Linked DNA regions of Saccharomyces cerevisiae S288C. The gene in region 2 interacts genetically with the main gene of each other region. Each region holds a gene or a part of one and is shown on either strand. Other genes may lie near its edges.

Region 1 (8,849 bases), on a different chromosome or scaffold from region 2:
GGGAACTTGATGATGTGAAAGTTTACTCCTAGCAGTTAACATTTCCACTTCTGTTTCCTCTTGAATGGCATCATTCAACTCTTCCTTGCTTCCGACGTACCCAGTATATTGGAATCTGCGGCCCCAATGACAGAAATCACTGCTTACAATGAATAAATTGTTCGGATCCTTAATGTACTCCGACAAGATATTACCAATGCAACGATCAACATCAACGCTGTTATGAGAAACCATCATAGGAAATACCTTCACCGTATCTAAAGAAATTTCTCTCCATTTCAAAGTTTCCACCAACATGGGGAGCTGCATCTCTAAGGAATGTTCAGCCATATCAGTGTCATGATCCATTGGCTTAAACAGCTTCTTTCCGTTCTCAGGATACTCCTTCTGTATTAATGTTTTACACAAGTCTGTATCCACTTTCAGATTACCCAAGGGCGTCTCTAGCTCACTGAATGCACTAACTAATATTTGGTTTTTGAAATAGATGTGATGCGACGGCCCCAAGATAAATATTCTCTTAACATTACGGTTCAAATCCAACGATGCGTACGAGTAGGCCATAGTGGGTCCACAATACCTGTAACCGGCATGAGGACATATGATAATTCTGGCGTTGTGAATTGGGCCTTTAAGGGTACTTTTGATCAAGTATGTATGCAGTTGTTGAGATAATTCTTGGGCTCTATTGGAATACCATGAGCCTGCATGTGTTGCTGGACGTATTGACATGTTTGAAAAATTCTATTCTTTGCACTGTAGTCCACCTAAGCCACCGACTAGGACCACTTCACTTAAGTATCAGTCAGACTTTCCTTTGAAAATATATCAGTGTGTATCCGCATGTTATCTGTTTTGTTGAAAATCACATGAGTGGACGGCCCCTTTGTCTTGTCTTAGTGTTCCCCAATGATTTAAATGCAATTCCGAAGGAAAGGGGGGAGCCTCATATTATTACAGCATCACTACCTTTTGAGGTAAAAATATCTCATGTGAAAAAGATAAATTATAGAGAACCGGCAGGGCATGCTCCACTGACAACCCCGTGGTAACAGAAATTAAATTTTGATTATGATTAAATGGATTGTAATATTTATAATAGCCAAATGTACAAGGTGTATATTGCAAAGAATATGATATGGCAGGATATACGTATTTGTTCTATACAAAATTTTCTAAAACAGTATGACACTTGAAAACACCTAGAAAAATTAGGCGCGGCAATGATTACTCGTCGTCTGACTCATCCTCATCGTCTTCAGAGTCAGATCTATTATCTAATTCTTTGCTTTCTAATAGAGCTTGTAACTCAGCGTCTTCAGTAGCAGTGACAGCCTTTGGTGGCATGGTAATGTTGCAAACACCGCCGTATTTTGTAATAACCTCTGTAATTTTTTCAATAGCGCTTTCCAGTTGTTCAATACCTTTTTGCTTATCCAAGGCTTGGGTGGTCAAAACATATAATGGGGCGGCGACTAATTTAACTTTAACTTGCATTTGTTCTGTGGACATGTCTTCAGCTGATTTTAATGCGTCTTTAATGGCATCGATACCTTCGTAACTAAAACAAGACACTTCAACATCGGCTCTAATCTTTACAGCTTGTGGTGTTAATCTCTTGGAGATATAGTTCTTTAATTCATCTAAAACATCTTTTGATGGCGGTTCAATACCTTCCCAAACAGTTTCGTCAATGATGGATAGTTTGAAAGCTTCGTAAGCGTGACCAAATTTTCGACTTAATGGCCAAGCAATGGTCTTATATAGTTCTTCCAAAGGGATTTGGAATTTTTCGGCACAGTATCTTAAAATGGAATGAACAGTCTTAGATTTTTGGTATTTTTCTTCACATTTAATGATATCTTCAGAAGAAACACGACGTTTGGACAAATCAATATAACCTTTTTCTTTGTCGACACGAAGAACAACGGCGACATCATTTTTACCAACACGAATTAATTTTTGGATTGACCTAATACGTCTACGGGACAATTCACTTAGTAGAATCATACCTTCAATGTTGTCATATTCTAACAATTTAACATAAGCACCCATTTCAGCAATCTGCTGGACGTTAACCATGACGATATCGTCAATTTCTGGGTATTTGTTTTCATAAAATCTGCAATGAGAAGTGGACATTATTTGGTGTATTATAGAAGGTGCGTGAGGCAGCAGAAAAGACACAAAAATATGAAGACAAAAACTGATTAGTAAACAGATTGCACTTTACTCTTTAATGACCTAGGAAATAAACAATGGTTGAAAATTTGTAAATGCGATTTTATACTACTATTTCATCAGATTTGTGCTTTCTCTTCTTCTCTTTTTCGCCTCTTCGAAGAAAAAATTTTTCTCCGACTGCGGGTAAGAAAAAACGCTCATAGTTTTTCTACCAGCTGTGACAAGAAACGTATTTTGAGCTGAACGATGAATGCTCACTTTTACATATAAAACTTAATTGCATATCTATGTGGAAATTATTCCTTGTTTTATTTAAATGTCAATCTTGACCGTCTCTGCTTCTAACGTTTCCAAATCCAGTAATATTATCATCCCAGTAGAACTGAATTCAGGGACAGATATTATCTTTATGTTCTTACCACCTATTTCCACTACTCTTGTTCCAAAATATGGCTGGTTTGCCACAATGTAAACGTGGGGCCACTTATCCAATACAAATGGATCCTTATCAGTGTACGGATAACACCATAAGGTATCAGGTGCGGTGGGCGCGATGTTTTGCCATTTCATTGTACATTCCATAAGGTCCAGGCGATGCTCTATATCGTCTTTGAAATCATTACTCTCGCCCTCCTCGACCTTGTTTTCACTTTCTCCGTTATCATTTGATGGTATTACGTATTTACAAATATCATTGATATTTTTGCCTGAAACGGCTAGAACGTCTACGCCATTATAGCTAAACTCATATGGGTTGGTCACTAAATTCAAAATTTCTTTGTTAGAACCGTTGAAGTATGATTCTAGGGACTTATCAAACAATGATTTGTGGAAAGGCTGTTGCGGTAGAGATTTGTCACTTGGATCATTGGTTCCGGGCATAATATCAACAGATATAGATGGCAAAATGTTGTGTAGAAATTTACTGAACTCAGTTAGAGAAATCATCAATTCGTCTTTGTTCACGCTTTTAATGTCGAAGTCAACAGAGTTGCCGCATATCAGTAATCTACCAATTAGAGAAATGTCGTCAATTTTGTTATTGATTCTCCCCATCAAAAATTCTCTCAAAATCTCCAATCTCAATAGCCTATCAGGTGATGTATTATTGAGGTTTAACCCAGAAACAAGAGCAATTTTTCCCCTGGTGGGGCAGGTAGCAATTGGTGCAGGGAAAGGATTTTGTGGTAAAGGAGTGGGGTAGCATATGTCTAAAACTTGAAATGTCCCGGCTTCAGCTTCCATACCCAGTATACCTACAACAACACCCGTGATGAAGGGTGTAGACCGAATAAAATCTCCCACTAGAAGCACTCTCCCACTTTCATCTTCGAGCATAATTTCATCAGAACCACCCTCTTTATCAGTATAACTTTTAGTTAAATCTGGTGCACCATATGTATCATTGATCACTTCGTCCAGTACGTTTGGTTTATATTTCATCTCGCAATATATGGATCCTACGCACCAACATGGTTGGTTTCCCTGAATATCTAACACTTTGTCCTTTTTTAGAACTAATTGGCCATTCAAGGTAAAGCCCGCATCCCATCTCTTGTCACATTCTTTTAAGACGCGTTCTCTGAAAGTCTTTAGACGGTATTGATAAATGTGGTAGTACTGAGAACCGTAGTCACGTTTTTTATAGCATAGTTGGAATGGATTCGATTTGTTGTAAAGATTGTCGTCAACAATTCTTACTCTCGTTCGTGGTTGGGACAAGTTTTCATCTTGGAGACTTCTATCCTCGTTGAACTTTGTTAACAATGCGTCCATTGCCCTTCACTTCCATTTTTGCAGGAAAGATTCAGCTATAGTTCGCTTATTGCAATGGGATTTCAAAAATAGTTTATATTTTAACTTTTGAAATTAATCAGACGCGTCTGATTAATCGTATAACATGATATAAATCTAGAGTTAGTATTGGCGGCTATTTTGCTTTTCCTCTGGTTTTCCTTTCCCTTTGACACCCTTTTTGCCACTTAACTACTGTATAAGAGTGGGTAAAGCACACCCACAAAGCATTGAACGACAGATTGATATCAACAGGCTGAAATAGAACAATCGAGAATGTTGCACCCTTTTTTCCAATCTAAGCACTTGCGTACATATATATATATATATAGGATAATGTGTAGTCGTATTATTAACCGCCTTTTGGAAGTTTGCTAACCGCATAGTTGTCATTAGAAACCACCAAACATAGTGAAGAAGCGAACATGCATAATACTGGCAAGAGATACTCAGAAACTGCCAAAAAAGTGGCAGCAGGAAGAGCAAGAAAACGTAGGCAAGCTTACGAAAAGGACCAACTAGAGAAACAACAACTAGAAGCTCAAGAAGCTCAGAGGTGGGAAGAAGGTGCGAGAACCCCTAACCAGAAGAAGCTGATTATGGAACAAAAAAAGACAGAGAAGCTAAGAGCCAAAAAGGAAAGAGACCAATTACTAGCCGCCGAAGAGGAAGCTTTAGGTAAGGGAGGCAGGGGAAAAAGATACTGAAATGACGGAAAACGAGAATATGGAGCAGAGAGCAACTTTTAGAGCTTTACCCGTTAAAAGGTCAAATCGAGGCTTCCTGCCTTTGTCTGATTTTAGTAGTACCGGAAGGTTTATTACGCCCAAGAACAGTGCTTGAATTGAGTTCTCGGGACACGGGAAAGACAATGGAAGAAAAATTTACATTCAGTAGCCTTATATATGAAATGCTGCCAAGCCACGTCTTTATAAGTAGATAATGTCCCATGAGCTGAACTATGGGAATTTATGACGCAGTTCATTGTATATATATTACATTAACTCTTTAGTTTAACATCTGAATTGTTTTATAAAATAACTTTTTGAATTTTTTTATGATCGCTTAGTTAAGTCTATTATATCAGGTTTTTTCATTCATCATAATTGTTCGTTAAATATGAGTATATTTAAATACAGGAATTAGTATCATTTGCAGTCACGAAAAGGGCCGTTTCATAGAGAGTTTTCTTAATAAAGTTGAGGGTTTCCGTGATAGTTTTGAGGGGTTGTTTGAACTAGATTTACGCTTACCTTTCAACTGATTAATTTTTTCAGCGGGCTTATCATAATCATCCATCATAGCAGTCTTTCTGGACTTCGTCGAGGACTGGCTTTCTGAATTTTGACGGTCCCTATTAGCTCCAGTTGGAGGAAATGAGTTACCTACAACTGGCAAGAGGTCTTTGTTTGGATTCAAAATAGGACTTTGTGGTAGCAGTTTGGTTTTATTCAATCTAAAGATATGAGAAACAGGTTTTAAGTAAATCGATACTATTGTACCAATGTTTAGCTCCAATTCCTCCAAAACGGTGGGATCTAATTTCGTGTTCATTTCTATTAGTGGCAACTCTCCGTCCAGTACTGATTTTAAAGATTCAAAAGTTATCGCGTTTGATATACGAGACGTTTTCGTTAATGACAGCAATCTCCAATACATCAGTGTTTTATCTCTTAAGTCAGGATTATTTTCGTGATCGATGCATCCTTTTAATAAATCCATACAAAGTTCTTCAGTTTCCTTTGTAGGACTTCTGATGAAGAATTTTATTGCTGAGTTCAGAATGGAAAATTGCACTTCTAGCGTCTCACTAAACATGTTTGAGGAAAAAACTCTAAATAACTCCAGGTAGTTTGGAATTACATCCGAATATTGCGTTATTATCCAGATCATAGCGTTTTTTGATTCAGGTTCCTGTACAACTTCAGTGTGTTTGACTAGTTCTGTTACGTTTGCTTTAAAATTATTGGGATATTTCCTCAAAATATTTCTGAAAACCGAAATAATCTCCTGGACGACATAATCAACACCGAATTCTAACAAATCTAGTAGAACAGCGACACAATCGTGTACAGAGTCTTCATCTAGCTTAACAGCCAGATTACCAATGGCTCTGACTGATTTCCTTGACATTTGAATATCAATATCTGTAGCATATTGTTCCAACTCTTCTAGAATTCTTGGTAATGTTTCCTTGTTAGCTAAAAGATATAAACACTCTAATTTCGTGTCTTTGATGTATATGGGGTCATTGTACTCGATGAAAAAATACGAAATGTCTAGCCTGAGTAGAGATGACTCCCTACTCAATAAAAGAAGAATAACGTTTCTTAATACTAAAAATTGTAATTCAGGCGGCTTATCTAACAAAGCTATTACAGAGTTAGATAGCTTTTCGGCTAGAGTTTCTTTGATGACGTCAACATAATTCAACAAGTACATGATGAATTTTAAAGAGTTCAACACTACGTATGTGTTTACTTGTTGCAGGTACGGTAAAGCTAGTTCGATCATTTCATGGGTATCCAAATAATGCTGCGGCACAACCGAAGTCGTCAAAACTTCCAAAACAGTAGCCTTATTCCACTCATTTAATTCGGGTAAAAGCTCTAGCATGTCAAAAGCGAGTTCCAAGGGAATCCTGAAGGGTTCCATGTTAGCGTTTTTTTCGTGAATGGAATATAAAGTATGTAATGCAGCTACAATGACTTCTGGAGAGCTCGACTGTGCTTTTACAATGTCATGTAGAATGCTTGATAACCCCAATACCCTTTCATGATCAATTTCATCTAAATCCAACAGTGCGTAAATTGCTGTCCTCGTCACTTGTTCAGGTGGAGACTTGTGATTTACCAATGAAATGATACAGTCGAAGGCCTGATCAGATAGCTCTTTCACCGGGACTAATACCAGAGTTCTTAGTGCCATTATTTGTAACTTTTCATCTCTGCTTTTGAAATCGTCCATTATAAATGGCAAAGCCTCTCTGGCCTGCTGAGGTTTTAATGCGCCGATCACCCTAATATACTCATGGCAAATTCTTTTCACTTCTAGATCATCTTCAATTTGCCAAAATTTCAAGAGCTCAGAAAACAGAACGGACATTTCGCCATAGTTTCCTAGAACCAAATTGGCGATAATTTTTCTCAGAGCATTTTTCCTTCTTGTTATATTCGATTTAAACTTTTTTACTCCAAAATGTTGCAGATCTGTGACGATTTCATTTGCTTTATATCTGGCAAAAACTTTTTGATCGGACATAAGCGAAATACGTCCTATTAATGAAGTGAATGTTCTTGCTGTATTCCCTTCTTGTGCAGTAGATTAATTCTGTTTCCAGGCTGCGATACTTTGATACCCAATACTAAAAGTTGATGATTTGAACGATCTCCTATTTCCTCGCACATTTTTGGAGCGATACCCGGAAGACAGAATCGCGATGTTAAGAAAATAGTTCTGATGGCACTAAAGAGATCATGATTAAGGAAAGGTAAGTGATATGCATGAATGGGAATAGGCTTTCGAACTTGACGATTTAGTTCCTTATTTCTATCCATCTAATCCTCCAACTTCAATAGGCCTTATCTAGCTCAGAGCAGTATTTAATTGAGAATAGTAGCTTAATTGAAACCTTACTAAAAAAGTGTATGGTTACATAAGATAAGGCGTTAAGAAGAGTATACATATGCATTATTCATTACCAAGACCACTATGAATAGTAATACCATATTTAGCTTTTGAAACTCATGTTTTCTATTGTGTTGTTTCAAATTCCTCTGTTAGGCTCAATTTAGGTTAATTAAATTATAAAAAAATATAAAAAATAAAGAAAGTTTATCCATCGTCACCTCAATTCAATGGAGTAAACAGTTTCAACACTGAGTGGTGAAACATTGAACAACTACATGCAGTTTCCCGCCACGAGGCAAGTGTAGGTCCTTTGTCCATTTCGCTTTGTTTTGCAGGTCATTGATGACCTAATTAGGAAGGTAGAAGCCGCTCCAGCTCGATAAGGAAATGCTAAGGGTACTCGCCTTTGGTGTTTTACCATACAATGGCAGCTTTATGTCACTTCATTCTTCAGTAACGGCGCTTAAATATTCCCAAAAACGTTACAATGGAATTGTTTGATCATGTAACGAAATGCAATCTTCTAAAAAAAAAGCCATGTGAATCAAAAAAAGATTCCTTTTAGCATACTATAAATATGCGAAATGCCCTCTATTTATTCTAGTAATCGTCCATTCTCATATCTTCCTTATATCAGTCGCCTCGCTTAATATAGTCAGCACAAAAGGAACAACAATTCGCCAGTTTTCAAAATGTTCACTTTTCTCAAAATTATTCTGTGGCTTTTTTCCTTGGCATTGGCCTCTGCTATAAATATCAACGATATCACATTTTCCAATTTAGAAATTACTCCACTGACTGCAAATAAACAACCTGATCAAGGTTGGACTGCCACTTTTGATTTTAGTATTGCAGATGCGTCTTCCATTAGGGAGGGCGATGAATTCACATTATCAATGCCACATGTTTATAGGATTAAGCTATTAAACTCATCGCAAACAGCTACTATTTCCTTAGCGGATGGTACTGAGGCTTTCAAATGCTATGTTTCGCAACAGGCTGCATACTTGTATGAAAATACTACTTTCACATGTACTGCTCAAAATGACCTGTCCTCCTATAATACGATTGATGGATCCATAACATTTTCGCTAAATTTTAGTGATGGTGGTTCCAGCTATGAATATGAGTTAGAAAACGCTAAGTTTTTCAAATCTGGGCCAATGCTTGTTAAACTTGGTAATCAAATGTCAGATGTGGTGAATTTCGATCCTGCTGCTTTTACAGAGAATGTTTTTCAC
Region 2 (8,413 bases):
TCAGCAGCTGCTGATCCAGGCCCTGCAGCCTACAGAAAGGGCGGGCCTTTGACCATTACAGACGCCAACCTCTTTTTAGGACGTTTGGTTCCTGAGTTCTTCCCCAAAATTTTTGGGCCCAATGAGGATGAATCACTTGACTTAGAAACCACTACTTTGAAATTCAGAGAATTAACAGATGTCATCAATAAGGATCTGAATTCAAATCTAACCATGGAAGAGGTTGCCTATGGATTTATCAAAGTAGCTAACGAATGCATGGCAAGACCTGTGAGGGCCATTACAGAAGCAAAAGGACATGTAGTATCTCAGCATCGGTTAGTTTCCTTTGGCGGGGCTGGCGGGCAACACGCCATAGCGGTTGCAGATTCATTGGGCATTGACACTGTTTTAATTCATAGATATTCTTCTATCTTGTCCGCTTATGGCATTTTCTTAGCAGATGTTATTGAAGAAAACCAAGAGCCTTGCTCTTTTATCTTGGGTGAGCCAGAGACCATCTTGAAAGTGAAAAAAAGATTCTTAGAACTTTCTAAAAATTCAATCAAAAACCTTTTATCTCAGTCGTTTTCTCGGGAGGACATAGTCTTGGAAAGATATTTAAATCTCAGATATGAAGGTACTGAAACCAGTTTGATGATATTACAAAAATATGATGACCAATGGAATTTTAGGGAATGGTTCTCTGAAGCTCATAAAAAAGAGTTCGGATTCTCATTCGATGACAAACGAATTATAATTGATGATATAAGGATAAGAGCAATTGGGAAATCAGGCGTTAGAAAAGAAAAAACGGTTGATGAGCAATTGATTGAAATTTCCCATTTCAAGAAAGCCGACGTGTCAAAGGATGCTAGTTTTACCCAGAAAGCATATTTTGACAACAAATGGGTCGACACTGCGGTCTTCAAAATTGATGATCTTCCTGCCGGAACAATTATCGAGGGCCCAGCCATATTGGCTGACGGTACCCAAACAAATATTATTTTACCAAACAGCCAAGCAACAATTTTAAACTCTCATATATTTATCAAGATCAACCAAAAGGCTGCGAAGACATTATCTAAAAGCGGATATGAACTTGATATAGATCCAATCTTATTGTCTATTTTCAGTCATAGGTTTATGGATATCGCCCTCCAGATGGGTACTCAATTGAGGAAAACTTCTGTTTCAACTAACGTCAAAGAGAGATTAGATTTTTCATGTGCACTATTCGACTCTAAAGGAAACTTAGTCGCTAACGCTCCTCATGTACCTGTTCACTTAGGATCAATGTCAACCTGCATATCAGCACAGGCGAAGTTATGGGAAGGCAAATTAAAGCCTGGTGATGTTTTAATCACAAACCATCCGGATATTGGTGGTACTCATTTACCAGACATAACAGTAATAACTCCTTCTTTCTCTTCAACTGGCGAATTGATATTTTATGTGGCTTCAAGAGCCCATCATGCAGATATTGGAGGTATTCTACCCGGTTCAGTGCCTCCAAATTCCAAAGAATTGTACGAAGAAGGAACCGCAATTTATTCCGAATTGGTTGTCAAAGAGGGAATTTTCCAGGAAGAATTAATTTACAAGCTTTTCGTAGAAGATCCAGGCAAATACCCAGGCTGCTCAGGTTCAAGAAGATTTAGTGATAACATAAGCGATTTAAAAGCGCAAGTCGCAGCTAACACAAAAGGGATACAGTTAATTGGGTCATTAACTAAGGAATATGATCTGGCTACAATATTGAAATACATGGCTGCAATTCAGACAAATGCATCTGAATCCATAAAAAAAATGCTTGCAAAAATGGTTGAACATTTTGGCACAACGAAGTTTTCTGGCGAAGATCGCTTAGATGATGGAAGCTTAATTAAACTACAAGTTATCATAAGACCTGAAAAAGAGGAGTATATTTTTAATTTCGATGGCACTTCTCCCCAAGTTTATGGTAATTTAAATGCACCAGAGGCTATTACTAATTCTGCGATTCTTTATTGTCTACGGTGTCTAGTAGGCGAAGATATTCCTTTAAATCAAGGTTGTTTAAAACCCTTAACAATAAAAATTCCTGCTGGTTCCCTCTTGAGCCCCCGATCCGGTGCTGCTGTTGTCGGAGGCAATGTATTAACTTCCCAAAGAGTGACAGATGTAATCTTAAAAACATTTAACGTCATGGCAGATTCTCAAGGTGACTGTAACAACTTTACATTTGGAACTGGAGGAAATTCTGGTAACAAAACCGATAAGCAGATCAAAGGCTTTGGATATTATGAAACCATATGTGGCGGCTCGGGGGCTGGTGCAGATTCATGGAGAGGAAGTGGTTGGAATGGCTCAGACGCTGTACACACGAATATGACCAATACAAGAATGACAGATACTGAGGTATTTGAAAGGAGATACCCCGTTCTGTTGAAAGAGTTCTCGATCAGAAGAGGTTCAGGAGGCAAAGGTAAATATACTGGCGGAAATGGCGTAGTAAGGGATGTTCAATTTCGGAAGGCTGTAACAGCATCTATATTATCAGAACGTCGTGTCATTGGCCCTCATGGTATAAAGGGAGGACAAGACGGTAGTAGAGGTGAGAATTTATGGGTAAGACATAGCACAGGCGCATTAATCAATGTCGGCGGTAAAAATACGATTTACGCTCAACCCGGTGATCGATTCATCATTAAAACCCCTGGTGGTGGGGGATTTGGACAATACAAGGATTAAAGCATTTCTTTTTGGTTCTTAGTCAATATCGAATTACACGGAACCATTGGTATACCGTGGATGCGCCAGCCACAAATTGACTTTTACAGAAAGTACAGTTTAATTATATAAGAACAGGCACTTAACAATGTTTCGGAACTCTGTAGATAAAACCAAATTACTCTTTCGAAAAGGCTACATTCTACATCAAAATCACCTGTGCAATATATATATATATATATATATATATATATATGCACATATTCGTTAATTTCTTCACTTTTTTCCCCAAATATTAAACAGATGGCTTCATTTCTTCAACATTATTTTCTGGTTCCTATGCCATTTTTAGCCTACTAATAATTATCGTTGAAAAATGTTTCTTGAATAAGTCTTAATGTAAGGATATATCATATGTTGAGATATAAAAATTTAAGTATAAATGAATCAAGACAATAATTTACATTGATTAAGTTATTTCAAAGTATAAGTATTTAGTATCATCATCTATTAAAGCACATTGAACCCTAATGTATGATGCCAATTGCGAATGCACTCACCGAAAAATTAAGGAATTAGCATTTACCAACTATCCTTGATTTATGCAATTTCAAAATAATAAAATATTCATACGAATCTTAACACTCTTCCATAACTTGTCCCATCATAGTTCTTCAAATTCCGATAATTAAATGCTGTTCAACTTCCCACGGAACTGATCTATGGATGTATAACCCTTAGCTTCCATTATGTCTTTTAATTCTTTTTCGATACGTTCAAAAATCTTGACGCCCTCTTTTTGTAATTCTGTACCAATCTGTAGCATAGAGGCACCACATAGAAGATGTTCAAATGCATCCTTACCGGACTTAATTCCACCTGTACCGATAACTTTGATTTCAGGTCTCAAACGAGTGTAAAATGCACGAACATTGGCGAGCGCGGTTGGCTTAACATATTCACCTCCAATACCCCCGAAACCATTCTTTGGCTTCACTACTACACTCTCCTTCTCCACATCAATGAAAAGACCATTTCCTATACTATTGATAGAGTTGACATAAGCTAATGGGAACTCGTTCAATATTTTTGCCATGATATCAAAATGGGCAAAATCAAAATAAGGAGGCAACTTGACACCAAGAGGTTTTTTGAAAAAGGCAAAAACCTTTTCCAAGGTTTCCTTTGTCAAGTCAAAGTCATAAGCAACTTGTGGTTTCCCAGGCACATTAGGACAAGACAAGTTTAACTCGGTAATACCGTTGAATTCGCTATCTTGGATTTTCCTCAACAAATTTAAATTTTCATCAATGCTCATACCAGCAACTGAGAAGAAAATAGCAGGTGCATCAGGATAATTCTTTTGACGGTTTAATACATAGGACAAATAGTAGTCGATACCTTCGTTTGGTAAACCCATGGAGTTGATACTGCCTAGAGGGACAGAAATGTAACGTGGTTCAGGGTTACCTTCTCTTTCTAAGGTTGTAGCACTCTTTGTAATGAATGCGCCAGCTTTAGAGTTTGCTAATTCATCTAATTCTTGTGTAGTCATGCAATGAACACCGGATGCATTCATAAATGGGTTTTCATAGGTATTGTTCAAGAACTTGGTAGTTAAACTGGCTGTCATGTTTGGTACGGAAGTTCAATTTTTTTTTGAGTAATTGTGTATATCTATTTGAAACGTCTAGTAGTCCAAACTGTGTAATCCAAGAGAAGAATACCGGTTCCCGATGCGTATGCCATGCCATATATAAAGCTTTTTTTATTTTTTGGTGATGGGCATCTTGAAAAATTTTCGGCGAATGCCGAAGATCGTGAAATAACCTTCGGCAAAGCCCGGTGAAGAAAATGGCTTCAAGAACATATTAGTGAGAAAAAGTAGGCTGTAGTGGCTGAAGGATAACATTTAGTAAAATCACCAAATCTAAAGTAGAGTAAATATCTAATAAAAAAGGCTAGAATTGTTTCGAAGTTTATCGTCCGATCTTATTACATGGGGAATACACTATTTAGGGTGGGAAGATACCAGATTGACTTGGATCCAAGGTTAGGGAATGACCTCAAGAGGAAAAAGCGACATCTGTAAGATCGAGGATGCTCCTTTTCCTTTTTTCCCCAAATGGGCCGCAGCTGTGAAGCATATCGTTATCATATACTGCATTTTTCTGCTATCGTTCTATGGATGCGATACGTAATATCTTGATACTTACTTCCTTCTGCAAGATTTCTATGGTAAAAAAGCTTATGTAGTGAAACCTGCACAGGCCGAGCTTTGATTGTGTATAAGCATACATCCCCCTTCAAAGGTGAAAAGTAATGTCGAAGTATATGGCTATCCAGCCGCACACTGTCCTCAGGGCCCATTCAGTGCAAGAACCAAAATGCTATATTTCTGAACGGCCTAAAATGAATAACGAAATAATTTTTTCCACTTTTACCAATTTGCTGTTCGACTAACATTTCTTTTCTATTACTATTATTGTCTTATAGTGGCAAAAGCAAGCAAAACAATTTAAATTCTTAGACACAGTAATCTACCATCTTGCTAGTGTTAACGGCTGTTATGTTTCTTGCGGCGCTATTTAAATGTACTTACATTCTAATCCCTTCGAGAAAATTAATACAACAAAAATTCTAACTTTAAAGTATGTCGTATATCATGTCTTTTATGTAATGTTATAAAGGCTATAATATGAATATATGTGAAATGCAGTTACATAGAGAAGCGAACACGCCCTAGAGAGCAATGAAAAGTGATTAAACGGTCTCAATATGCTCCTCATATGTCTTTGAGACGTTCGAATCAATCATCTTCACTGAAGCACATTCCGTCTTTTGTTCAACAATGTCACTAATCGAAAGACCATCGGCTTCGTATTCTTCCACTTGGTTTATATATTTCTTCATAACAGGAGAGGACAAATCACGATGGAATTTCTCATGGCCAACAAAAACACAAGCAAATGTGAAGATGAAAACAGAACCAGTCAAGATAGCCATAACTTTGGCATAATCTTCTTTAATCACAGCACCAGAGGCATCTCTTTCTAATGGGTATCTATCAGCTAACTGTGTCTCAATCGTGGAAGCCGCTGCAGAAGCTAGATTACCTAGCTGGTAAGATAAACCGGCAACCAAAGCCCTTGCATCAGCAGGGGCCAACTCTGCAAGGTGAATGGGCAGGATACCCCAGACACCAAAGACACAAAAATATAACATGAAACCGGCACCTAATATAGCCTTTTCGCTTCTCAACATAAATGCAGGGTAGGTGAAGCAACCACCCATTGTGCATGCAATCAATAGGCCTAATCTTCTTCCAGTAACTTCCATGAACTGTCCAAATATCATACCCCCACAAATAGCACCGATGTTGGTAACCACTACAATGACAGTGACAGCATCCTTGGATAGGCCTAATTGGGCACGCAGCATGGTTGGCAACAAGTCTTGAGAAGCATGAGTCAAGTAATTTGGACCCACCAATAAAACAACCAAATATGCGAACAACAACCAGTACTTTTGAACTGTTCTCTTCATGGATACCATCTTTTGTTTAAAGTTGGCTTTTGGTAGAGGCTCGCCACCATTAGCTTTCACTGCGTCACTCAATATTAATTTACGGGCTTTCAAAACCTTGGTGAAGTATTTCGTTTCAGGCCATAACAATCTCCAGAAAATTAGTAGAATTGGTAGAAAAATACTAAACCAAAACAATATTTTCCAGCCATCATCCCTAAAGTAGCCAAAGGCTCTGTAAAAAATGATAGCAAATATGAACCCCATAGCGTAAGCAGAAAAAAATAGACCTGATAGGAACGAACGTGCTTTCACAGGTGCATCTTCAATCGCTGTTGCAGAAGCACATCCGTAAATTCCTCCCATAGCAATACCGGTTATCCACCTTACGCCCAGAAATTTCTCGTATGTGTCACACCATGGAGTACAGAGTTGTGCAATGACAAATAAGAACAAACATGTAATGTACGGCCACTTTCTGGAAGACTTATCTGTCCATAAACCAAATATGACAGCACCTGCTGAACGAACAAATAACACCAATCCCAACCCCCAGGTGATGTCCTTGGTTGGTCTGTCATATAGTTCAGCCAATGGAGCGACTGATACTGAAACGCAAAAGAAGGCCCAAGCCGCAGACAACCACGCAAAATAACCCATAAAAAAATAGTTCCAATTCTGCCATGTCATTTTGCGCAGTTCGGGTATGGGATTGACATTCTCCCAAGAAAACTCGTGGATGTGCAGTAAGGACGTAAATCTCGTTAAAGCATAACTTTTAATGGACGCAGCGCTTAGGTTTGGCTTATCCTCTTCATCTTCCTCATACTCTACACCTTGATCCTGGCTATAAACTCTTTCCAGCAATTCATCATCTCTTGTATCCTGAATTGATTGTGCAGGCAGTGATGGGTTATGGTATAGCTTTTCGTGATCCGGGTTGTAAACTTCCGGCTCATAATTTATAGGGTTACCTTCTCCGTCCACTAGAGGAGGCTCTGCAAATGTACTTGTGTTATAGTATAGTTTTCTGCCAGCAGGTTGTTGCTGTTCACCAGATATTTTCTCATCTGTAATTGACGACGACATATTTTCAGTAGCAGTATTTAATCTCTTTGAGGAAAAACTTTTGAAACTGTTACTCTTCTTCCTTTTAGATCTAAGGGAGAAGGACTAGACAACTTCCAAAACTATTTCTCAACAATGATGTGCAATGTATTTATACATCAAGAGGGTACTTCACTTTGCTGATTTTTTTTTTTTTTTTTTTTTTTTTTTTTTTGGTAAAGGATAGTACCATAGGAGATAGTAAGTGTTACTTAGATCTCCATCCAAATGACCAGGTAACGTTCTAATGCATTATAGTAGAAGGGGGGGCAAAAGACCGTTAAGTGAAGAATTATGGACGTCCGGATGGTGTGCAGAAGCTTACAAACTAACTTCCTGGTGGAGAATAATGGTAGGCTTGGCGGCTCTGAGATGGAGAAATAGTTTCAAGCCGCGCGCTCAATAACTTCCTCGATCACTGACTTTCGCACCCATCTGGGAACGGTACGGCGAATAGTCTTCATTTAATTGGAGCTGATCGAAAATGCTTGCTGCCGCTTCAGCGTGAATGACGCAGGTGCTGCGTTTGTCCTGTGCCTCCTTTTTTTTTTGGAGTCCGTTTGTCGGCTATTAGCTCTTGGGCTCTAACCCCAGGAAAAGGAAAAAGAGAAACACGCCGGTCTAGTGGAGTAAATTGCGGGGTCAGGATCCCGCGCGGATATCGGCCGTTCAAAGGGTGAAAAGAAGAAATCATTGGAGTCGTTGCGAGTCATTCTTTACGAATCTAATTTCTCCAAATTTTTACAGGTATTCTTAGCCGCCCAAGGTAGCATACAATGACCTTCTATTGCAAAAATGTACAGTGGAATGTAAAAACAGTGGGGACAAACCTGTGGAACACTAAGCGTGGGGGTCCATCCACTTAAACTAAATCGTATTGTTTAAAAGTGTGCAAGCATTGCGATAACGTTCGATTAGACTCTGAATGGAAGACAATGAGTTGATTTTGCTACCAGCAAAAAAAATAATTTATAAACACATTATTCTTGCAATATTTTTCATACTGTGCGTTTATACCTTTTGAAAATTATAGATCCATTTATATATTAATTAACATCCGAAACAAAAGGAAAGTGCGAGGACCGGCCCA
Region 3 (8,157 bases), on a different chromosome or scaffold from region 2:
CATTATAATGTGGCGGTCCGGTTTCCCCTAAAAATAATTGAGGGCATATATGCATATCTTTTCGAGACTCAGGTTGAAAAAGAGCCTCCTTAGTTCTGCACATACATCCAATAGTAGGGCAGGAGTCCCAATCAAATTTAGGTATGTCCTCTATGCTATCACCCACCTCTGGTAAACAGCCAATTGCGGCCTTTATGATGAACAGTGAGGAATTCAAATTAAATTTACTCTCTGAGGTGAAAACCCATTTCATAATAACCTTTTTATCCTCTACAACATATACTGATCTAATTTCAGAGCATCTAACCAGTGTCAATATCCTAAAATCTTCCTTTTTTCCGAAGTTGAGCTCTAGTATGTGGGATATTCTCTCCTTATTGCGATAATAGCTTGTTTTCTTCACCTTAACAGTGCAAAAAAGAACTTTAAACAGAGTGAAACCGTCGCACTCTCCTTTTACCTCATAATCCGACTCTTCAGGGAAGTCCCCATTTTTCAATATCTCGTATTGATAAAAAAGAAAACCCACATAATCTCGCCTAACAAAAAAAGGCTTCTTAGTGCGGAAGGCAAATAACGGCAAGCCCTCTCCATCCGCCGTAAATGACTTGAAGGGATGCTTCCTACTTGCAAACAGATTTATAGATCGTTGTGATTTGAATATTAGATCGTCTTTGAAAACACGAAGCTTGACCATTCCAGTTTTCGTTACAGTATCAAATTTAAACTTATCCGGAACATCCTTCCTGTCTTCGTTAGCGTAGATTTCTTCTTCTATAGCCTTTACTCGAGGCTCGTAACCATCAGGATGCCACAGCATGATACTGTTTACAGAACTCGATCATATACTAGAACCTTTGACTTCGGTAATCAGCCCGCATCCTATGCTTTCATTTCCTTGGCGTATGTTACTGACTAGTTTCCTGGCTTAAAATAGGAGAATTCATCCTCTTAGTTATTTTCTTGGTGGACCACGTGCCTTGCTTAAAGCAGGGCGCTGCCGTTGTTGCAACAGCATTTTCAGACTTTCCTTTAGGTAAAAAAGGTCAACCAATAATTTTATTTTATTTCTGATGATGGTTGCGCGTTCCAAGAAAATCAAAACCTTGGGCCTCATCCTCTTCTAAGACGTATAATGCAATCAAGAAACCCTTCCCAAAACCTAATAAAGGCTTGTTATTAGTTTCAAATTCAGGCAGAACTCGACTTGGATCTTTTAAACTTTTAAAGTCGTAGAAAATAGGTGCATAATTAGCTAAAACAGAAGAGACTCACCATTTGAATTATATAACTTTATTAATTCGAGTAAAACATCCATCAGGTATAGCGTGTTGCGGAAAGACTTTTTTTACTCTTATTGTAACAAATATGTGTTACAATTTACCTGTAACCTTGTTCTGTATAAAATTTTCTCTCGTTGTCATATGCCAATCTTTATATAATTAATAGAAATTTAGGAGGAACACAAGAAGAGGGGTAGATCCCGACAAGCCTTAACATACAGACGTAAAATTACTCGCAAATTTGCGAACCACTTGGTCAGGTGCGGTACGTAAAACGAAGATTTGTACAATAAAAATATTGTTGGTTTAGCTAGATTATATTCTCCGATGATTTTTTAACTTCGATTTCCATCAAATTTTATATTAGACAGTAATGGAGTTTCAATTTCGAAGTCACTTCACTTGAAGCTGAATTATACTAAAAAAATTTTCTTTTACTTGATTTATTGCTCTGCAGTGTCTGATAGTGTAATGGCGGATAATGCAAAGAAGAGTAAAGGGAAGATATTTTATTTCTTTGATTATACAAAATTTTTAACTTGTATGTGATCCCTGTCTTTAATATCGTTTCATTATACAAACTAACTACAGAAATAGCTAAATGAGTGATTACTGTGCCATCATTTTGACTTCAAAGATCATCTATATCTTGATATAACATCTACCTGTCGAAAGTAAGATCATCCCTTTGCGGGCATGTAAGGTGTAAGATATAAGAACAAACAATTGCTAGAAAATAGCTTTGAATGAATGTTAAAAGGGACTGAACTTAGAAGTGTGCGATTTTCTGTTTTCAAAATTTGCCCAAAGCGCTTCTTTTCTTTTTAAGAATTGTATAGATGTAATTATTTAACGGATGTCTGACATTATTGAACCTTCCTAACTCCACAAAAATAACCAACGGGACCTCTACCTTACTAAACCACTTCCCGCCCCATTAACTAACCAGCATAACCTAGACAATACAAGGAAATGTACTTCGAAATTTTAAGGTAAACGCAATTCTTGTCACAATATAAAGCTCTCACTGTGCTCATACACTGCTTCGATAATAAAAACCAAATGGTTTCTACTAAAACATAGCAAGCCTCACAAGATATAGAGATCACACACCATTGAAAAAGAAAGTTCAGCAAGTTTGCTGGAGGTTGCAAAGAGACTAACGAAGGGCTTTCATAACGACATTTTACAGTTATTGATAAAAGAATGCTTTTACGACAGCAGAACCTATTGGTTTGAAGAAGATAGAGGTCTAGTAGTATATTGTTGCTTTAATGATTCAAACTCTTAACAATGTGGGCAAATATGCGTATGATTTCGTTCTGGGAAAGGATAGTAAGAAGCCTTTTTGATTACAAAACCGTGAAAGACGGTTTAGCAGCTTTTACAGGAAACCTGCTTTACCTTAGCCAGTGTTTTCTCATCTTCAAAAAAAAGTATTGTACGCAACTCTTCCATCTAGCAGAGCTCCCGCTCTTTTTCAAACAAGTTTCATTATATTTATTCTTAATAATTTTGGTATCATCGAGGTGAGGTCTTCGTTGTTTCAACACCAGCTATTTTTCAGCGGCTTACAATTACGTAGTTCTATTAACGAATACACTGGGAGGTGAGTATAATCATGGACTGTAACACTATACGACTCCAACACGTTATATGTATCAGTTATATATATATATTATATTATTTTGGGAAGAGTAGCATTGCTTTTGAAAGTACACGGGGTTTACTTTGGCTCATAGAATGGGTCTGGATATGAAATTCTGAAATATTCAGATTTTGGAGTACTGAAAATATTTAGCAAGAATTTCAAATATTAGTTAGTAAACCAAACCAAGGCATCTGAACTTGAACCTCCATAACTCGCTTTCTAACATAATGAGCTTGTATGACATAATATTATAGAACTCGAGGTTAACCTTTAAATATAAATATAGTAATCTTCATGATAATAATTTCAGGGTAGTGCGCGTATTTGTCGAAAAAACGCAAAATGACAGAAATTCTATGTTTACTGACTTTAGATTTTGTTTTAGATCAATTGGCGGAAAAAGGACGCAGTCTGTAACTTTGATTGGCATCTTGATTTGATTTGTTGGGTGGTTCTCTTACAATCAATGGTTTATTTCATGGAAAGCTTGATGACATGTGATAGCACACCATGCTAATTAGTGAAAAGAGTCCTTGTTGACTTACCACATGTGCAGCCGCCTTTTACCGTGGTGCGAAGCATATTGAGCGGCCTGGAGACCAAGAATGTCAGGGCCTTTAAACAATAGAAGAAGTGTATAGGAAAAAACTAAGGTGTTTTGAGATATTTTTTATAAAAGTAGTATTTCTTAAAAATCAGCGGGGAGCCATTCTTTGAAGGCGCGCTTGCAAATTTTAGGTATTGGGCTTGATTATTTTGGCAAGTGTCATGCATTGTAACAAATCTATATAAAGTGACAATTCTGGAACACTGTATCGTAATCCCAAATAATGTATGTAGAATAGAAAAAAATATATGAAAAAATGAATAGATCATACACAGACGACATGAATAGCAGCCCTCCAAATTACTTGACAACAAGGACGTTTAGAATCGTTAGATTGTTTGCAATAATTTTTGCACTGCTTTTGGTAGCGTACTCATTATTTTTAAGCACACTTAGAACTGGAGCTATACCTGACCGCGCCAACACTGCTGCTCTAGTACGGCGAGCTAGGTGATCATTTGCGACTGGATTAGGACTAGGAGGATTTTTAATTGCTGCAGCCGCTTATGCTACTCCTTACTGGGTCGCAGCAACCTGTATCGCATCCACTAGCGGAATATGTTCACCTATAGCTGGTGCTGTTTTAGCAACTTCAGCAGTTATAGTTGCAGCAGTTTTAGTGGGAAAGAGTTCTGGCTCAGCAACAAAGCGAGGGTTAAGTGAGACTATTAATGTACTGAATCATACTATAACACTCACTGATCATGTGCTCAATGGGCAAACATTGTCTAATGGTACTGGTAGTAATTTTGTTACAATAGAGTTTAGTGGGTATGCAGTACATGACACTATTAAACGTGACGGTGCTGCTGAGATCAACTTTGTGGGGTATACTACGGAGCATGGAACCCACATCAGCACGAGTAGCGTACATAATGTGAGCATGCTCATCGATCAAATCGTGGCAGCGGTACCAGGGGTACCTGATATAAGTGGCAACGCTTCGGCCCTATCGTTACAGAGACGCAGTCAAGAGTTCGCCACCTCATGGATATCAATGACATATAGTCAGAGTTATGGTGACCTGGCACAGAACTGGCAGAATGACGAAGGTGGAGCAGGAAATTTTGATTCTTATGCTGAAGAGAAGTTACAGAATTTCTTTTCAGGTAATAGGGATTGGAAATACTGCTTTGCTGCTGAGGACACGAAAAACGGTGAGCCACTTGATTACGATGACATACCTGGTGACGGTGCAGGCACGGGTTCGGCATTCAAGTCTGAGATATATTTTAACACTTACGGTGGTATAGATAATTATTGTAATGACGAGCATATCGGTGCTCAGAACACTGGAGATGGTCGATAAAGCTTTACGCCTGTCGCTGAATTGACTGACCCGAAATTAAGAACTGTTGACGTAGTGAATTACGATCTAGTTTATATGTCATAATGTAGTAAGTTTATTGGACCCTTCTATATGTTATGTAAATGTAATAATTACATAGTTACTGCTTTTGTACATAGAAACTATAGTTTCTTAAGTACTACCGGATTAGAGGTTTGCTACTATATGTTTTCCTTGTCTCAAGCATTACTGAAACAACTCTGAAACAATACTAAAACATTACTCATATCATGCTTTTGGGTTACCACATTCAACAATAACTCGAATACATTTATAAAAAAAACAAAACTAAGGTACAAAACACACACCACACCACATACGCGCTGATTGGTTTTATGGAAGCTAATAGTTCAGACATAGCTCAGAAAAATAATAATAAGTATTATCAAATATAACTCATCTGGTTACATGCTAAGTTCTTGTCAAGTGATATAGCGTTATCTTTATTATTGAATTAAATTCTATAATTAGAATTCGACTACACCAACTAATGACTCTAAAAAATATGTGATTGCCCTTCAAGATTGCATTATTTCTCAATGCATTACATACATAGAGTATACTAGATACAGATAGATGATTGTAAGTGTTGGAACAAGATTCAATTATCATCCTATTTATTGCGATAGACGCACTACTTGAGAGTGATATACTTACTTATGCTACTGCATTCAAAGAGTACCACTAAACAATCTCAACAGAATCAATCAGACTTTTTTTTGCCACAAAAACTTTTAACGATGTCCTTTGGCAGTACTGTATTTTGAGATTAAAGGCGTTCAGTCAATAAAAAATCTAAATTCTTGTTCATTTTCAGTTCTGGTATTTTTTTCATATTAATGATGGGGTGGCTCTGGAGGCTCATTTTTCCCACTGAAGATCGCTGGTAATTTCGTTCGTATGTTTTAAAGAGAACTATATCCTGTCGCCAATTATGTGCAGTTGATGAGAAAACTAAGATAGAAATAAGTAGGGATGGAACCAGGATCCACAAGAAGCGCGTTTAGCCGATCCGGCTTATCAGGTACGAGAAGCAGTATTATTAAGTAAGAAAGCGCGCAGGAAAGCGGCCTTTTGAAAGCACGTCTGCAGACATCTCACGACACATTCCCAAATAGGGCCCTGCTAAAAAAAAAGCAGCAGAGCGTACGTTGCCTGGGAAGCATGGTTTAGCGTGTTGCTATATTATGGTAAGGGGGGTGGTCAGTATACGTTGTGCTGACTGCCAGAGAATATCCTTATTCACAATTATTTGTTGAGTTTGATACTTATTTACAGAGACTATATATAATGACACTTTTGGAATACAGTATCGCTACTCAATATCATAAAAAAAGTAACAATAATGATGCCTACCTACCTAGGAAAGTTAACGTGGTCATACTTTTTTACCACTTTAGGACTAGCTTGTGCTTACAACGTAACAGAACAAATGGAATTTGATCAGTTCAAATCAGATTACCTTGCCTGTCTCGCACCAGAACACAGAAACATTGTAGTCGATTTGGCTAGTAATGGATTCATAACAATTTCACCGATGGCGAATGCAACAATTGACTTTGAGGATGTAACTAGTGATTATTTTAACTGCACTGACGTCAATACTAACGTACAGGTTACGATCGCGTCATTTTACAATGAATACGGTTTTGGGCCCGATGATAACGGCTATTATCACGCTATGGAAGAACCCTCAGAATTTGAACGGCATGACATGGATGTTAGGCTCTACAGACCATACTATCCAGGTGAGTTTGTCATGGGAAGACGTTCAGATGCACTTGGAGTGACTGGTTTTGACCAAAAGGACTGCGCAGGTGAGGGTTTTTACGACGAACAAACTGCAGCAACGTCATGTCAAAATATAGGCTCCACTCAGTACGCCAAGTCGGTCAGGTCTTATAACTATGGATGCTGCGGCGGGGCGGTCTGGATCAGGATTTGGCCGCATCACAATTGTTCAAAAGGTCATGATCACCATTTCAAGATAAGGCCAGGCCAGATGCTATGCTGGAATGTCAACCCATATTCTTGGATGCAACCAGAATCCGGATGGAATCCGTAACGAATAGGATTCTGGACATACGTTAGGTTCTTGTCGAATGTGATAACCCAAAAGCATGGTACAAGTGATGCTTCTTTTTTGTGTCGGTAATACACAAGGAGAACATATAGTGATAAACCTCTAACCCACTATTACTTAAGAAACCCTAGTTTCTATGCACAAAAGTAGAACCCTATATATCTTATATTTGTATTACATATATAAATGTCCAGTAAACTTACCACATTATGACATATAAGCTAGATCGTAATTCACTACGTCAAAATTACATTATGGGAGTGAAAGTATAATGGAGCACCCGTGTGAGTATGTGCTTGTTGACGTTAACGAGGATGAACAAACGACAAATAGATTCGACGTATTGAAGTACTTCTTGGCCACTTTTCATCTTCTGACGCGGTGAGCTTTTAAGAGCCCTTCTTTTTCGACTGGCCACGTGAGAAGACATACAGTTCAGCTTACATAGCTTTGGCCCATACAATACCTATGTGCCCCAAACCGCAGAGACGATTAGCACACCTTTTTACCTGCACCACAGTCATTTCTCGATAATGGTGAAAACACAGTGATACCACCGCACAGCAAAGGTGCTGCCAATGGACTTGAAATATTTTATGGAGTGCGAATAAAAAAATGCTCATGGACTCGAATATGAGATGCAAAGCCACCCTGTGCAAAATGGTTATCCTTGTGGGAGAGTGTTACGACAGTGATGTGGCATATTATTCTAATGTATGGTCTGTGTAAGTACGAAATATTCTGAAATGGCATCCGTTCAAGCAATGGTAATATTAAGGAACTTATACGTTAATGACGTCATGGTGGTATTGATACGTAATTGAGTGTGTTTATGTATTATCGTTGAAGGATAGAATATTTTTATGTTTAGGTGATTTTAGTGGTGATTTTTTTGTAATATTGACATAAGTGTATATAAATTGAGTGGATAGTAGATGGTGAAAAAGTGGTATAACGTATGTATTAAGGGCAGTTATACAATATTTGGGGCCGCCGAATGAGATATAGATATTAAAATGTGGATAATCGTGGGCTTTATGGGTAAATGGCACAGGGTATAAACCGCTGAGGCAAGTGCCGTGCATAATGATGTGAGTGCATTTGTACTGATTTAGTGAGAGATGGGCCATGGAGTGGAATGTGAGAGTAGGGTAAGTTTGAGAGTGGTATACTGTAGTAGCATCC
Region 4 (7,716 bases), on a different chromosome or scaffold from region 2:
ATTGTCGCTTATTAGGATTGAAAGATAGGATCAATGAGGAATAAATGTTACCCTTTTTTCTTAAAAATGTAAGAGGAAATTATGAAATATACTCTGATTTGTTTATTATTGATTAAGAACAATATAATAACCGCTCTGGTAGCTACTGTACATATAATTTGACGGCATATATTGCTCATATATAAAACTACCGCATTACTTCCAGTTGATAGATTTTTAACTCAGTTTCAGTACTGCCAGAACTGCTCATTCGAGATTTTTTCTATTTTTAGAATAGGTAAAATTGCACTTAAATGTATAAGGGATGTACGAAGTGAGTGCCCAGACTGTTACTATGACAATTAAACTAATGTCGATGACCATTTGTTTCGACAACTCCATCTTCATTTTCTTCACGCGCCATACTCGGATGAGAAAGAATCTTTTCTCTAACTATACATTTCCAAACGCAATGATCAAGAAGAAAGCTAAATGTTACTTTGAGTTCAATTACTGAGACATGTCATGGGAATATGAGGAAGAAACAAATCTACGTGTATTATACTCCGTAACATGTAGAGTAAATACCATAGTTACCTATTTACCTGTGTCGATAAATGTTCATTAGCTCATAAGTGATGGGATACATTGCTATTCCTCTGCAATGGAAGCTTCGATATCTCCCTTGGGGTCGTTATGAGAGACGTCTTTAGGGGGGGTTTTGACAACAAACGGATCTACTTTCGTCGATTTGAACTTTCTTGCAGAAACTCCAAGTTTAAATAACTCATTTATTTCCACGAAAGTCTTTCCGGCAGTTTCTGGTAGGTCAACCACAGCCCAGATTAAAGTACAAAAGCATAAGACACCCCAGAAAAAGCCTGACTTAGCGCCCCAGTTCCACTTCTTAGAGTTCAGTTGGTATAAGATGAGAACGCTACATATGATACTGACCACATTATAAGTGTTACGTGCTAGAATGATTGTTTTCGTTCTTAGTCTTGAAGATGGCATTTCAGAGACTAGGCAAAAAACGACCGGGGCAATTCCTAAATTGTAAAAAAATGCTACAGCCATTAAAAGAGAACCACTTCCCATTTTGGAACCGTGCGTACTTGAGCACCCCAAACCGCCAATAATGAAAAAAACAATGGTTTGGAAGGCTAGTCCAAAAGCGTAAAGGTCATATCTACCAAAATACTTTGACGCCCACCAAGATAGAAATGTAGCACAAATACCGAGACAGTATTGAATAATACTAAAAGTGAAGGACATTTCAGTACTAACGCCAGCCTTTTCGTAAAAGTAAGTTGAATAACCTATTAGTATTGAACCACAAGTGGCTTGACCAGCCCAGCAGAGACAAGTAATTCTCGTTCTTCTTCGATTAATCTTGTCTTCAAAACAATCACTATAGGAGCCTTCTTTACTTGTGAGTCTCTTTTCCTTATCTATAGTCACTTTTATTTTGTCCACCTCCAGAGTTACTAGTATTTCTTTTTCAGGTCCCTTGCCGCTTAAAGTTCTTCTAAGTGATCTCCTTGCCTCATCAAACCTTCCTTTTTTAACTAGCCACCATGGAGATTCAGGTGCAAAAAAAATTCCCAGTGCTAAAGGAACTGGCAAAATCCACTGTAGGGCAAATGGTAGTTTATATCCTAATTCTGAATCCGCATATTTTTTTTGAGAATTTTTCATGATTCCAGCTGCAAAAAGTTGTCCAAATAACCAGCACAAGTTTGAATAGGTTGTAAGGTAATATCTCAGAGCCAATGGGCATATTTCAGAAGCGTAAGACACCGTCAAACACTGAAAACAACCCCATGGCATCCCGCACAATGCTTGTCCCACAGCAATCATGCCTAAACTATTGCAAAAGTACAGTATAAAAGTGAAGGCAGCTAAAAAAAACAATGCAATAATCAATGTGTAACGATTTCCAACAAGATCCACGGAGGGCCCCGTTAGCTGTAGCCCCACAATTTCACCTGCCATATAACATAAGGTCAGCCCGATTTGCCATGACGCTGAAATTTCCCATTCTCCAGTTTTGTCATTTTGTGAGCCAAACTTTCTCTGAAAAATAGGCAAGGCGTAGAAAGCTCCAAGAATAGCTGTGTCGTACCCTTCCATGATTAAAGTTGTAGAGACCAATAGTGACCAAGCTGCTGCCTTGGGATATGTATTCAATGCTGTCGCAAGTGGCATTCCTCTTTCACTTTCGTCTGCCTCCTTGGCATCCTCAGTAGCGTCAAATATCTCTGTTATTACTTTATTGCTATCGCTTGGCGCTCTTGTATCCGGACTGAACTCAACATGAACAATATCTAAGCCGTCCTTCTTAGTTTGATCATCCATTTCTATCCAGCTGGGTTCATGCGACTTAGCCTTTCCTGGGTATACATTCGAGTCACTTGTATTTTCCTTTCTTCTGTTTATGAGAAAAGATAAGTTTTTCATAGCTAGGTAATGGCTTTACAAGACCTGTATCTCTATTTGTGTTAGATTTTGTGATGGTAATCTTTGCATAATAATTCCAAGAACAGGCCTCTAAGAATTACAAACAACGATTACAGATGACCCCACCTTTTTTTTATATTCTATAGTCAACACTATCATGAACTTGTGGCATACTCATTGCATATGGCTGACAGGATGTCAAATGCTCCCTTCTACGAAAGATTCTGTGCACGTAAAACGCGGGGTGTGGAATGTCGCGATGACTCTCGAGCAGAGAAAAAGACAAACATATAACGAGCTGATTCCTCTCCAGAAGAACAAAGCCAACATTGATTCAAACTGAGGACTTAATATGATTGACTCTCTGGAAACTGCAACAGTGTGATTATAGATCAGAAATTCATGCTGTAATTTTAGTATATCGACCTGTCGCGATGTTGCAAGCGTGACAGATCTATACATATTTCGCTAAAACTGTCGGTAAAATACCAACACGCTGCACTGCAGACCACAGATTCGAACCGAAGCATATTTTCAGAAATTTACGAGAGGTCTTTATAGTCACCAAAATATCCAAATTGAGTAATTAGAAAGAAAAAAACACACATACTGTAGTCCACAACCTGTTTACGGACAGGTTCTGGCTGATGGGATAACCACTCTACCTGACTGCTCTCCTACTTCATATTTACCTCCCGAACAACGTGAAATCTTTTTGCTTGGAGAAAAACAAGTAAAAAGTATAAATGGAGATGAAAGATCCACCAATAAATTCCAGCTTGATTTTTCAACATATGATGACAAATGTGAGTGCTAAATCTAAGTCGTAAGACAAATAAGAACTTTTACCATAATCAGTATCCTGGGAAAAGTGGTAGAACTACAGTTTATCAAGCTTACCCACAAAGCATTAAATATGCTCCCACAATAACCTCTGGAGTGATATAACAGGTATGACTTTCAAGTTATAGTATATTAAAGATCTTGGAATTGGGCGGTTTAGGCTTGTTCATTTCAAAGCTCGAGTAAGATTTTAGTATACTTTTCCCTATAGAAATATTTCCGACATAGATTTTTTAATATAAGCACTTCTTCCATGACATTTTGTTTCAGTTATCTCTCTTTCGTCGCTACTTGAGAAAACTATATGGTTGTACGAAAAAGAAATGGCCAAAATATTCTTTGGGCCTTATTAATCTCATTACTATTGTAAGAGTTGGCCCTTAATTTTATAGAAACACTGTTTTAAGGCCAAAAAAAAAAGATGCCAAACATAGAAAGGAAATGTCGCTTTACTTGGCTAATTGGCTCTAAATCACAGGTCTTAATACTCGAAACGCCATTGATGTACTGTGCACAATTTCCATTCCGGGTTAATTATAAAGATATCAGCGTTTATTTTCATCCATGGCAATGAAAATTGTAAAATAATCATCATCAAAATTTGATATGGTTGCAATAGAGGGAATGATTTGATTTTTATGAGACTTATACGCATCACCCTGTATTTTTGCAATTACGGCGATTTATAAAACTTATAACGGAATTTAAGAGTTTCATCCTACCAAGCGTAATCATAGATATAAAAATTCTATTGTGCAACTCATATTTGTCATTGAAACAGGGACTTTTCTCCGAAGTTTAATATCTAGTATGAGCTATACACCTTAACCACTCCTTACTTGTAAAGGTACGAAAAAGTTGTCGTTTTAGCGCGCACTTACTGATGGATGCTGAATCAGTATAGTGTTTGACTGCGGCAGTAAACTACTCACAGTAGCAGGCACGTACTATGGAAGTTGTTTCGAGGCGCATGATAGGAAAAAGGGTACCAAAAAGGATTAGAAGAGAAAATTTTCATAATGGGAAGTCACTGACGAGGGTTGGTGGTTATCCGTTTTAAAAAAATATTATGCAATCAAGCTACAACATCCTGTAAATTTTGTAGTAGAAAACTTCTATTATAACGGTTTCTGAATTGGCATATAAAATAGTCAAAAGGTGATCTTTAAATCAACGGTAAAAACAGTGAAGCTGGTCCTGTTGTAGAATCGCCATTTCCTTTGTGGTGATAGGTCTTTAAGTAAAGTAATGGTGAATTTAGTTAATTTGTTAACCAACGCGACTCCAGCTAACTGAGCGCATGGTCTAATACAGTTCCGTTAGAAACATATTTTCATTTTGATGAGGTATCAGTATTTGGCGACTATTATTTGAATGCATCTGTAATCTGGATGAATGAAACCTTTTATGAAACCAGAATTGTCCCAGCTATTATCAATGTCCGTGAATGGCTTGACCATATGGAGGCAAACGATCCTTCACCTAGTGTAACTAACCCACTCGAAACTTCAATTATTATGCCTTTTCAACGGTAGCTCCCGCTTTAATGGAGGATATGAAAGTAGCATAAATGAATTAGAAAAGTGTATTCACTGTTCTGGAATATACATGGTACGCAAGAGATATAAAAATTTATAATAAACGTACGTTATGCCCGAAGTGTATCCCGAACTACGGGTTAAACTAAAGCTTTTTAATTACTAGTAGGTTGGAGGTTTACCAATATGCGTTCTTCTTTAGGCCTTACATTACTGAAACAATACTGGAAAATCACTCTTATGATGCTTTTAAGTTATCACATTTAACTTTATGGCATGGCCTCCGTTTGAGCGCACGGAAAGATTTTATAGTACTTTAGTATGACTATTCGTTAGCATTGCTTTATGGTCGTACTCGGAGTAAGAATATTTTGTGAGTGAGCTGGTAAGATGAGGATATTGTAGAATAGCATTTTTGCTCTTATGTGTATTCCTGGTATGATATATAACATTTGTGCAGCTTCTTACTGATGAATAGCATATTTCCTGTTTAAGAGAGGTAGTAGTGATTAATTAGTAATATTAGTATTACTGCATGATAAATCGCTTGATAAAAGTGTCCACTCGCCTTTTAAAGTCACTCAATAGAGTGTAGTATTCATATCTAACAGAATGCAAAAGTATGAATTTTTAAGTCCAGAAGGGCGTTCTCATTTCTTCATTAAAGACTCTTCATTGCGGGACAATTGCGCTTCTTTAATATATGGCCATAGTTCCACATTCAATGGTAAAAGCCACATAGATTTCTTTGCAGATAGAAGGCGGTAGAAGAAGTGGCTAAAAAACCATTCACAGTCAATCCCCTCGAAGAAAAACTCTTCATTCTTCCAGGCTTTTTTCTCAAACAAGTACCTATTCATTTTCCTTGCAATTTCGTCCCATCCATTCGCACCACTTTCTTGCTCATTTATAATAGTCAACAAGAATTGCATCTTGTGTTCCATTTTCACGAGTAAAGCAGTCGTCCTCATATTTTGGAAAAGCCACACCATCATGAGGAAAAACAATCCAGGACACAATATACGAAATGCAAGGCAAAAATGCTGTGACACGCAGATACAGTTCAAAAAAGCAAGCCATAATGGTAGAGAGTAAATAGTGAAAATCCGCTTTAAAAACCAAGTAAGCTTGGACCGATGAATATCCTTGGGAAGCTGAACGTCTTCCAGGCCAACAGGGCTCCATGATTTTTCAGTATTAAACAACTTCCATTGTTTTTCAACTTCTCTAAAATAAACTCCCAATGCTTCTTCAATGTAAGGGACGGAATCCTTAAATGACTTAACCTTGGCAGCTTCGTCTTTTTTCAAAGAGAAGGGTTCGAGAAGGGTTGTTCTGAACGCTTCTTGGCAGCCCATGGCATTGAAGAAAAAGTACCTAGTATTCCAAGCCTTATTTTCATATAAGTACGAATTTAGATTTGCTGCAACAACTTCCCAATCATGAGGATCAGAACTTGGTGTGTTTTCAGTAACCTCTTTGCAAAACTGAATGAGTTGTTTCGATAAGGAACGCTTACGAGAAAGTCCACAAATAACAAGGACAAATATTGGTCCCAGAAACAGGACCAGAAGTGAAACTATAAGTGGGTAAATACAATTGTTGGAAAGTTTCCACCAGACGCTAAGTGGTAGCCATAATAGCATCCAGATCGGAAACGCTAAGGACTTGTAAATTTCATAACAAAACCAGGTAAAGCTGCTTCTGAAAAGATCTTGAGGTAGAACAATCTTTTGGGATTCGAGCTGTTTGAAGGATAATACATCTACACTCTTCTCATTTTTAAGTTCATTCTCTTTCATTTTCGGTAGTGAGATGGCAGTTCGAGGGGTTTTTTATTCGAGATAGTAACTTCTGACTTTTCGCTTTTATACAGCACAGCAGAAAAAAAAAGCCGCCGAGGCGCGCGCGTTCATGCAATGGCTCAGTAACCTCGTGATAGAAAAAGGGCAACAATATTGGGCTATTTTAGGCAAAGAAACTCAGCTATTCGAAAAGGGCATCCATTTCATTTCCGGTTTTCTATCTAGCCAACTCGATAATCGTAATAACGAATTTACAAAACTTTAATGCGGGTACATCACGGTGTGCCGTAACTTTGGTTTACATTTAAGGTGCGACCAGCAATGTCACTGCTCGTACAGCGGTTACCGCTTGAATGAAATACATATTTTAAGCGTAGATTTCCTGTGACAAAACTGTGTAAACATCTAGTAGAAAATAGACGTAGCTGTCACAAATATTTACACAGGAAAGAGTCTGTCCTACGTATCTGACATGAAGATTCATAGAACCAAGTTACTTCCCAATGTGGACAACCTTTCGATACCATGTCAATAGCTTCCCCTTATGTTCGGTGTCACTGTAAAACGGATCAAAACAAAACCTAGAGGTACGGTGGTACTCAGATCATGCATGACCTCTGGGTAATTAGCACTTCTCCCGCTTGTTTTGAGATTCTGTATATAAATATTGCAAACAAAAGGATAGAGCGCGGATGGCAGCCCTTACAGTAAAAATTATTCGTTTTAATCATGCGTCAGTGTGAGATTCTATGACAATAGTATGAGAAGATGGGGTGAAGTAAAAGCGTCTGTATGACTATAGAGTACAGTTATATTACAATATATGGAATAGAGCATAGTGGTATGACGATATTAAGGAACTTTAAGTTAATGATACCATGATAGTATTAAGACGCAATTAAGTGTGTTTATGTATTATGGTTGAAGAATAGAATATTTTTATGTTTAGGTGATTTTAGTGGTGATTTTTTTGTAATATTGGCATAAGTGTATATAAATTGAGTGGTTAGTATACGGTGTAAAAGTGGTATAACGTATGTATTAAGAGCAGTTATACAATATTTGGGGCCGCCGAATGAGATATAGATATT

What was found.
Region 1: mutations in URA1 (region 2) and APL1 together harm fitness more than expected from each alone (negative genetic interaction), as found in Saccharomyces cerevisiae (one large-scale study listed by BioGRID).
Region 3: mutations in URA1 (region 2) and YER187W together harm fitness more than expected from each alone (negative genetic interaction), as found in Saccharomyces cerevisiae (one large-scale study listed by BioGRID).
Region 4: mutations in URA1 (region 2) and MPH3 together harm fitness more than expected from each alone (negative genetic interaction), as found in Saccharomyces cerevisiae (one large-scale study listed by BioGRID).

What each region holds. Positions count from the first base shown.
Region 1 is NC_001142.9:444,313-453,161, reverse strand, and holds APL1 (Apl1p), read right to left. Parts: upstream 7,240-8,849; coding exon 5,137-7,239; downstream 1-5,136. Other genes in the region: MHO1 (Mho1p), read right to left, coding at 1-732; SUI2 (translation initiation factor eIF2 subunit alpha), read right to left, coding at 1,228-2,142; DNA-directed DNA polymerase delta subunit POL31, read right to left, coding at 2,497-3,960; LSO1 (Lso1p), read left to right, coding at 4,404-4,685; SAG1 (Sag1p), read left to right, coding at 8,301-8,849. UniProt on the Saccharomyces cerevisiae protein: Adaptins are components of the adaptor complexes which link clathrin to receptors in coated vesicles. Clathrin-associated protein complexes are believed to interact with the cytoplasmic tails of membrane proteins, leading to their selection and concentration.
Region 2 is NC_001143.9:21,126-29,538, reverse strand, and holds URA1 (dihydroorotate dehydrogenase), read right to left. Parts: upstream 4,325-8,413; coding exon 3,380-4,324; downstream 1-3,379. Other genes in the region: OXP1 (5-oxoprolinase), read left to right, coding at 1-2,712; JEN1 (monocarboxylate/H+ symporter), read right to left, coding at 5,455-7,305. UniProt on the Saccharomyces cerevisiae protein: Catalyzes the conversion of dihydroorotate to orotate with fumarate as the electron acceptor. Molecular oxygen can replace fumarate in vitro. Does not use oxaloacetate or NAD or NADP as electron acceptors.
Region 3 is NC_001137.3:561,806-569,962, forward strand, and holds YER187W (uncharacterized protein), read left to right. Parts: upstream 1-4,424; coding exon 4,425-4,850; downstream 4,851-8,157. Other genes in the region: YER186C (uncharacterized protein), read right to left, coding at 1-820; YER188W (uncharacterized protein), read left to right, coding at 6,235-6,954; YER188C-A (uncharacterized protein), read right to left, coding at 7,803-8,102.
Region 4 is NC_001142.9:737,378-745,093, forward strand, and holds MPH3 (alpha-glucoside permease), read right to left. Parts: upstream 2,440-7,716; coding exon 631-2,439; downstream 1-630. Other genes in the region: COS5 (Cos5p), read right to left, coding at 5,471-6,622. UniProt on the Saccharomyces cerevisiae protein: High-affinity uptake of maltose and maltotriose. Also transports alpha-methylglucoside, glucose and turanose but not melezitose or trehalose.